Linked DNA regions of Oryzias latipes. The protein of the gene in region 2 purifies or fractionates together with the protein of the main gene of each other region. This does not show direct contact. Links are inferred from orthologs where the notes say so. Each region holds a gene or a part of one and is shown on either strand. Other genes may lie near its edges.

What was found. The genes of interacting proteins can lie anywhere in the genome.
Region 1: the proteins of nfx1 (region 2) and larp1 purify together in Homo sapiens (affinity purification with mass spectrometry, with the first as the bait; 3 studies listed by BioGRID). This does not show direct contact. The link is inferred for Oryzias latipes from reciprocal best matches to the Homo sapiens genes NFX1 and LARP1.

Annotation. Positions count from the first base shown.
Region 1 is NC_019872.2:3,472,917-3,476,416, reverse strand, and holds part of larp1 (la-related protein 1), read right to left. Parts: intron 3,470-3,500; coding exon 3,309-3,469; intron 3,141-3,308; coding exon 3,042-3,140; intron 2,671-3,041; coding exon 2,344-2,670; intron 1,771-2,343; coding exon 1,647-1,770; intron 780-1,646; coding exon 583-779; intron 495-582; coding exon 388-494; intron 1-387. UniProt on the Homo sapiens protein: RNA-binding protein that regulates the translation of specific target mRNA species downstream of the mTORC1 complex, in function of growth signals and nutrient availability.
Region 2 is NC_019878.2:21,136,077-21,140,239, reverse strand, and holds the start of nfx1 (transcriptional repressor NF-X1), read right to left. Parts: upstream 2,801-4,163; 5' UTR 2,733-2,800; intron 2,727-2,732; exon of another isoform or gene 2,598-2,726; 5' UTR 2,550-2,597; coding exon 2,531-2,549; intron 1,512-2,530; coding exon 663-1,511; intron 509-662; coding exon 347-508; intron 217-346; coding exon 139-216; intron 12-138; coding exon 1-11. UniProt on the Homo sapiens protein: Binds to the X-box motif of MHC class II genes and represses their expression. May play an important role in regulating the duration of an inflammatory response by limiting the period in which MHC class II molecules are induced by interferon-gamma.

The sequences.
Region 1 (3,500 bases), on a different chromosome or scaffold from region 2:
CCAGAATGACGAAACACCAAGCTTCCCATGATGCATTTCTTCAACGATCCATTTCCTTCTACAGAGCTTTGGTCCGTTTTCAACACAACATTCTACACAAAAACCACCACATGTTGAGTGTCCTGACCAAGTCATGTGACTGGAATAACCAGGAATAGAATCCTTTGTGAACACACCGTTCCCTCATTTAGTCTGTTTTAAGGCTGTAGAAGCCGCCGCTACACGCTTGACGGGCTCTTCTCAGACAGAAAAACGTTTTCACAATTTTCTCTCTTGTTTAAACCTTTATAGAAAAATAAGTCCAGCATAATTGAACGAAAAAAAAGATCTGCTGGTGGATAGAAAGACTCAGCAGTCCCATACCATGATGCTTCCTCTGCAACTCACCTGACAGAGGCGGTGCGGGACCGGTGCTCTCTGGAGTCCATCACCCAGCCCACGTGGCACTCCATGGGGGGGTTGGAGCTGTGCCTGGTCTTCCTCTTCCTGGGAGTCTGGAAGAGGAAGACTCTGAAGCGTGAGTGAAGGAGTTCCCCTCGGGAAACCTCCTCACATCAACCCCACCTGCCCCCGCCGTCTCACCTTGGCGTCGACAGGCCGGCTCTCCTTCACCACCGGGTAGAAGCGAGGCGTCATGGTGGGGTCCTTACGATGCGGCGTGCGAGGAGTCCGCGGCGTCCGGTAGTTTGGCGAGTCAGGCACGGTTGTGGGTAGCGAGCGGGCCATTGAGGAGGGTTCAGGGGCGCCGAAAAGTTTGTTTGCCAAAGCATCTGTGGGGACTGAAACACGACGAGACGCTAAAGAAGTGAGCTTTAAACTGCAGAGAGAAGAACGACACGCCGCCGATGAGGAGGAGCACTCTGATAAATGTGACCCCATTTCAAAAACTACTCTTTAATCATTTTGAAAGCTGAAGTAGAGTAAATGACAGCTTTAATTTTTGTTCCTGGGAATCAGAAAGTGAAACTATGAACTTTATTTGTGTCATTTAAGCGTTTATGTCAATGAATGACTGAAAAACAAGAGGCTGCACACCGTCAAAGTCCCACTCCAGTCATGATTTGATCTATTTTCAAAGCGTTCCCAGTGGTTTTATAATTATGATTAACCTGTTTTTAGCCAAAATTAAATACGCAAAGACGTTTTCTAGGACATAGTTTCTGCAGAGCAACAGATTCAAGCGGAGACGAGAAAAAACAAAGACTTACATTGGTTTACAAGTGGAAGCATCAGAATTTAAGCTTCAGGGAGAACACTTCCTTACCCATAAAGACATAACATTTAGATTAAATAAAGACATTAACATTTGTCCTCCATCATCGGAAAGATGCCATCAGAACATGTTAAAACTACAAAAACATGATTAGTTTTGAGTTCGACTTGAATCTGTTTTTAGAAAATGCAATATTTACATAATAATATATTAACAAAGTTAGTAGTTTCAGGTTTCTGTGTCGAAATCTTGTCACTTTTTTTTGATTTTTTTCTAACTGCTTTGCACCTCAATCTGTTTTTAAAAAAAGATTAAAAACCTAAATTTCTCCTAAATAAAAAAAAAAGGAGAAACTATTGTCCTGGTCAAAACAGATTTTAGTTTAAAGCTTTTAGTAAAACATAATCTGCTGATTTTGTCTGGGTTTGCTTACTCTGCTGGGGGCGCGGGGGTCCGGGGGGGACTTCCTGGTTGGGGTCGACGGGGGGTTCTGGGGTCAGGCAGTCGAACTGCTCCCGGCTGATCAGGTGGACCTTCTTGAAGTTCTCCACCTCTTGCTGGAAGCAAAGAAAAGACAGAAACCCGCAGCGTGAGTAGAGGGAGCGGAGGAAGCGACCGGCAGCGGCGGAAGGGGAATCTCCGTCGGCGGACCTCATCCGCAGAAGTTTGGAGACAGACAGGCAGCAGCAGAACATGGCGGCCTTAAAGAAGCGTTTCACCCTCATATCGCCACAAACAGCAGCTCCACACAAACCCGTCTGTCCTGAGAGCAGCAGCTCCACTCACACTCATACTCGGCCTCTCTTTCCAGAGACTCTCCAGGGATCGGTCCGCGGCCATCTTTGCCTCCCCCCTGGCACCCCGCCGTTTGGGGTCTATTTATAAACGAGCGGCGTGTGTTCCACAGGCTGCTGGATGTGTGTTGGCGAGCGCGTGAAGGTCCCACACAGAGCCCAACAATGCAACAATGGGCGGCAGCGGCAACAAAAAAGCGGACAAAAAGGCAGCTTCTGTGCTCTGCTTTGGGTCCGGATCCAGAAAAAGCTGCAACTGAAGGAGAGCCACCGCTGGAAGGCCTCCATGCATGACTCTGCTCTTTTTCCCTTTTCACCACCATAAAGCCGCCTCACCTTGATGGTGGCGTACTCCGGCTCATAGGGGGCGTCCCACAGGTCCTGCTCGTAGTAGAAGAGCCCGTCGTTGATGACCTTGACCAGCTCGTTGGTCAGCTTGGCGCGCGACGTGTGGTGTCCGGTGCGGTCGCCGCCTGGGTGCTTCCGCAGGTAGGGCGGCGTCTGCGTGACGATCAGGATCTTGTTGACGTCCTGGTCATCCAGCTCGCCGTCCGTCTCTTCGTCTGACCAGTCGGTGAAGGTGTTGCGGCGTCCGTCCATCTGCTCCATCTCTTCGTCGAACATGAAGTCCAGCTCCTCTGGTTCGTCCTGCTCGGCTCCGTCCTGACCCCACAAACAAACACGATACTCAGTTACTTTCATTCATCAACAGACTGTCAGGATTTTCAAACTCTTTGTAAACTATTTTAAAAACTGCTAAAAACTGTCTAACTTCAGGATGAAATCCCAGCTTTAAAACTAAACTCTATAATCAGGTAATTCCATCAAGTCACCACCAGGTGGCTTGTTTCACAAATATAGTTTATTCTGTAATAATGTTTTGAAGCCCTATTTTAAATTTGACCTTTAAAAAACACACGTGTCCACGGAGGGGCGTGGCCTGTTGATGGACATGTGACCATTAAACCTACAGCTCTAAACAGAACCAGAACTGGTCCAAAACCCCTGCAGATCCGTGCAGGTGAGCGGCTCACCTTGTTTCCTGAGGTAGTGCGGGACGGCGAGGAGCCGGGCGGGGGAACCGGGGATCGAACCACTTCGTCTTTTTCCTTCTGCTGCTGCACCGAAGGGGCCTGCTTCCATCACAAAAAGAGGAGGGAGAGGAGATGAAGAGGAATGGTGAGAGCAGATTCTGTCAACACCTGACTGGATGGATGGATGTGGTTTGGTTCTGAGATCAATCTGTGGAGCTGTAGCTTTAACTCTGAGCTCCGTGTGAAGACGTGACGTTCTGAGCTGACCTTGGGTCTGGCGGGAGACGGTCGGGGCCTCTTCTTCACCTCGATCCAGGACTCAGAGTCCAGGTCAGGGAGGCTGGCAGAGAGGCCCTTGGGCATGGATTTGAGGTTGGAGGTGTCTGGGTCAGGCTTGGCCCGCACTGGAGAGGATCCTCTGGAGGAGCCTGCAGCAGAAACCCTCAGGTTAACAGCCGT
Region 2 (4,163 bases):
TGTCACTTTACCTGCCAAAACAACAACAAAATCACTTTCAATTGCTTTTCGCTCTGAGGCTCAGATGCTCAAACGAGCGTTTTTGAATAATGGGCTGCCAGAAGAGTTTTCATTTGCATAAATGAAACTAACACTCACCACAGAAGCAGGTGTAGGACGCAGGGCTTTTCAGTGCTACGTTCTGGCAGGCTGGACAGCGCCAGCCTTCAGTCGAATCTGAAAGCCATCAATTCCAACAAGCATTTTTAACCATGAAACAAAATGTTTTGCACTTAAAAAAGTGAAAAGAAATAAATGTTGACAGTTGACCCCGCAGACTAAGAGCACACATGGGTAACGGTCATACCGTCCGCCTGTGAGGCCGGGGATCGAGCCCATTTCTTGATACAGTTCAGGTGGAAGACGTGGAAGCAGCTCTGGCAGCTCCACACCGGGGCCATGACCCTGATGACGTCACAGCACACCATGCACTCGTAGTTCTCCTCTGTCAGCTGTTCAATCAGGCAGCCTGTGGAGGAACCAGAGCATCGGGGTCAGGAGACTCCAGCGGCTCAGACCAGCAGATTTTTTAAACCAATGAAAAACGTTCTCAAGAGTGGATCCACCCGGGCACAACTTTGATCGAATTTAAGACCAAACAACCACAAAAGCTGCAATCTCACCAGTCTGAGTCTCTTTGCTCTTTGGCACCTGCTCCCAGCTCTGCCGGCCTGGCTTGTGGCTTCGTTGGTTAAATCTTTTACCCCCTTTGGCCGGAGGAGGTGGACCCCTTGAATCCTGAGCAGGTCGGCTCTGATCGGAGTCGAGCCGAGCATTGGCCCCCCTCTCACGGCCATCTATTTCTTGACTTGGGGGTTTGGGGGGTTTGATTGGTCCTTGGCGCCGTTTAACTTCAACCTCTTTTTTCTGGGTCTCATGATAGTGACGTTTAGGGCCCGACTTGCTCTCCTGAGTCCTTTCAGTGGTTTCTCCTTTGGTGCCGTGCCTTTGATCAGCTGCTTTAAAATGATCGCCTCTCTCCCTCTGCTCTGCTCTCCTCTGCTCAACATTTCTGTTCTTTTTAAAATGAGAATCCCACTGTTCATAGCCTTTCTCCAAATTTCTGTTAACACCCCGCCTGTTGGATCCATCAGATCCATCCATAGGATGTGCACCAGACTGATGGCTACCTGCATACCTGCTGCCTGAACCATGCTGTCCAAACTCATGACCAGATCTTTGCCACCATGAACCAGAGGCATCCGGATTTCCATTCAAACCTCTGTCTCCTTCTCTCCTTCCTCGACCTCTGCCTCTCCTTTGAGCTGTATCCTCCCCTCGAAATGGAGGATTGTGGGCTTCAACATAATTAGAGTTATGTTCAAACCCTTCAAAAAAGTGTCCAAAGTGTTGGGATGTTTCTTCATAATTACAGCTCAGATTTCTACCATTGTTTCGAGGGCGGCCTCTTCTGGATCTTTGCTGGTGCGTTTTCTGAAGGGACGACCCATCTTGGTTGAAATTTTGTGGGTCTGCAAATCGAAAATATGACCATTTGAGCCCACAGCGATAACTGACTATATATATCAAAGCCTAAAATGTATTTAAAAAAATTAAAATACTGTTGTGGATTTATGAAATTTATGAATGTCGTCCTTTTTTTGTTTTCTGTCCCTCAATTTTTCTATAACTATATATACTGTATCTCTCACAATCTTTCATCCAGTTTGGAGCATAAAGAAAAACAAATTTCAATAAAAGCAACAAAAAAAACAAAACAAAAAAAGAGGTTTTATACTGACATGCGTGTTGAGTTTTTTATGAATACACTGCATAAGCTCGGCTGTAACCGTAAAATCTGTCCATTTGCTAAGATACTGGATAGAAGGACTTCTTTGTAACAATATGACTTTTAATGATGTTTACAATAAATACTACATTTCATGCAAAAAAAAAAAAAGAATTCTTTTTTATTTTTTTAAATACACTAATTTTCCCCTAAACATAAATATATCCAAGTAATAGTATAAAGTATGCCATCACTGTAGAGTACTTTTACTTTTGTAAAAGTTAATCAGGAAAACTAACGGATTCGGATGAATCCTCAACCCAGAATGGAAACGTTGTTGTTTTAAATAAAGATTTGGAACATTGAATATCAAAACAAATAAACCAGAATCAGACACTAACGTGTGAAAAACCTGGTTAACAAAAGTTTAAAGTCCCTAAATATAAAGCTAAAGGAGTGACATGTTCTTTAGCTCCTGTCACAGGTCAACAGAATAATGTTCTAAGTTCACATGATGATGTTACGTAACTTTGTCTCTGGTTGACAGACGTATAAATTATAAAACCAGAAAAATCACCAACAAATGATCTAGTCCACGAACTAGTAAACTTTGTTGTTAGCTAATATTAGCCGGTTAGCACAACTAGCTCAAAAGCTAAAACAAAATTACATATAGACCCTTATTTAAAGTTAACTTAATTCTATGAACGGTTTAAGACAGCTGTAAGATATCTGGAAATGATTTTATGGCTGGTCGCTCACCTGAGGAGCCCTCAGCCATTCAGGCTCTTGCTACTTCTTCTTCTTTCTTTCGCTTGGCGACAGCAGGCTGTTTTAAAAAGAGATGACAAGTTTAGCGAAAGAGTTAATATATTTATCACAGTTTTAATCTGTGCTATGACTAATAAGGTAGTTAGAAAACCTCTTTACTATGAGTAATAATTTACTCATGAAGTGAGCTCACCTGCCACCGATTTGTAGCTAAACGCTAGCTAACGCCGTACGGTTTTTTACCCAGACCGGAACTTCCGGTTTGTATTTTTAAAATAAAACTCCCATTCGAGGTTTTAAGAACAAAATATGAAATAACATTTTTTTTAAAACATATTTGTATGAAAAAAGGTTCATATACATATTTTTTAACATGTAAAAATAAAAGGGTAAAAATAAATAGAAGCGAAGGAGGAGTGAATGACGATGTCACCAGCAGGTATTTAACACCGTATTACATGTTGTTAACTCCTTTCAAAGTAAAAGCAAATAAAAAATATCATTTGAGATTTTGTTTTATCTTCTACCACGTTATTTGAGCTTAGTTCAATGCCAAAAATAAATGTTGACAATTTATAACCTTAGGCCAATTAACATCTACAGTTCTAAACCTTATAAAAATGTTTTTTTATAATGCAAAAATCTTTGCTCGAATTTGACATTTTTTACTCAAGTTATTAGCATAACTACCTTAAAAATGAACAGTCAACTTTTACTTACACTGAATCCCAATGGGACTGGAGCAACAATCACTTTTAAAGAAAGCCTGTCACATTTCAGCCAGCGTAGGGAAAGTATTTTTTCACACAATATTCCAACTGATATTCAGTTCTCAAATCACAATTCAGTTCGCAATTTGATCACGCAATGCGAAAATGCATTTTTCCAAATTGCAAGCCTGATTTTCGTATTGAAATGTCAACTGTAAAATGCCTTTTCAAACTGCATGATCAAATTACAAACTGAATTGTGATTTGAGAACTGAATATCAGTTTGAATTATGTCTTGACCTCTAAATCTGGTAATGAGCATCTTTTCAGGACAAAAAGAGGGGCCTTCAAGAGGAATATTTTCGACATTATATCACACTTTAGAAGTTCCAGAGATAAAACCTTCCAAATAAAACAAAAAAATTCCCAATTAACATATAAATGTGGGATTTATTACATACTTTGTGAACTGTTAAGTATTCAGCTTTTCCTGTTTTTGCCAAAAAGTTGAAAACCAATCTCCACAAGGTGGCGCTCCATGGTTACAGTTTTTGGAGAGCAAAGAGAGAAGATGACTTTCCTGATGATGTAGAGGGATTGGGGGAGACTGCAACATCCTCTGTATGTGTCTGTTTGTGCAGCATCCTTCTCCATGTATCTAAGGAGGTGGCAGTTCGTAAAGAAAAGTGAACAGTGACTTTAATAAAAGTTTTAAAGTTGAGTAAAAAAAGTAAATCTTTAAAGTAAGTAAATCTTTGTTTATAGAGCACTTTTTTCACTTTACAATGTTAAAACAATATAAAATAAGAAAATGAACACAGAATGGCACAGAAGGTCTTAAACAGGTAAAACCCAATAAAACACACCCAGGCATATAAGCCAATGAACGTGCAGAAGTGTAGGGAGTCAAGAGG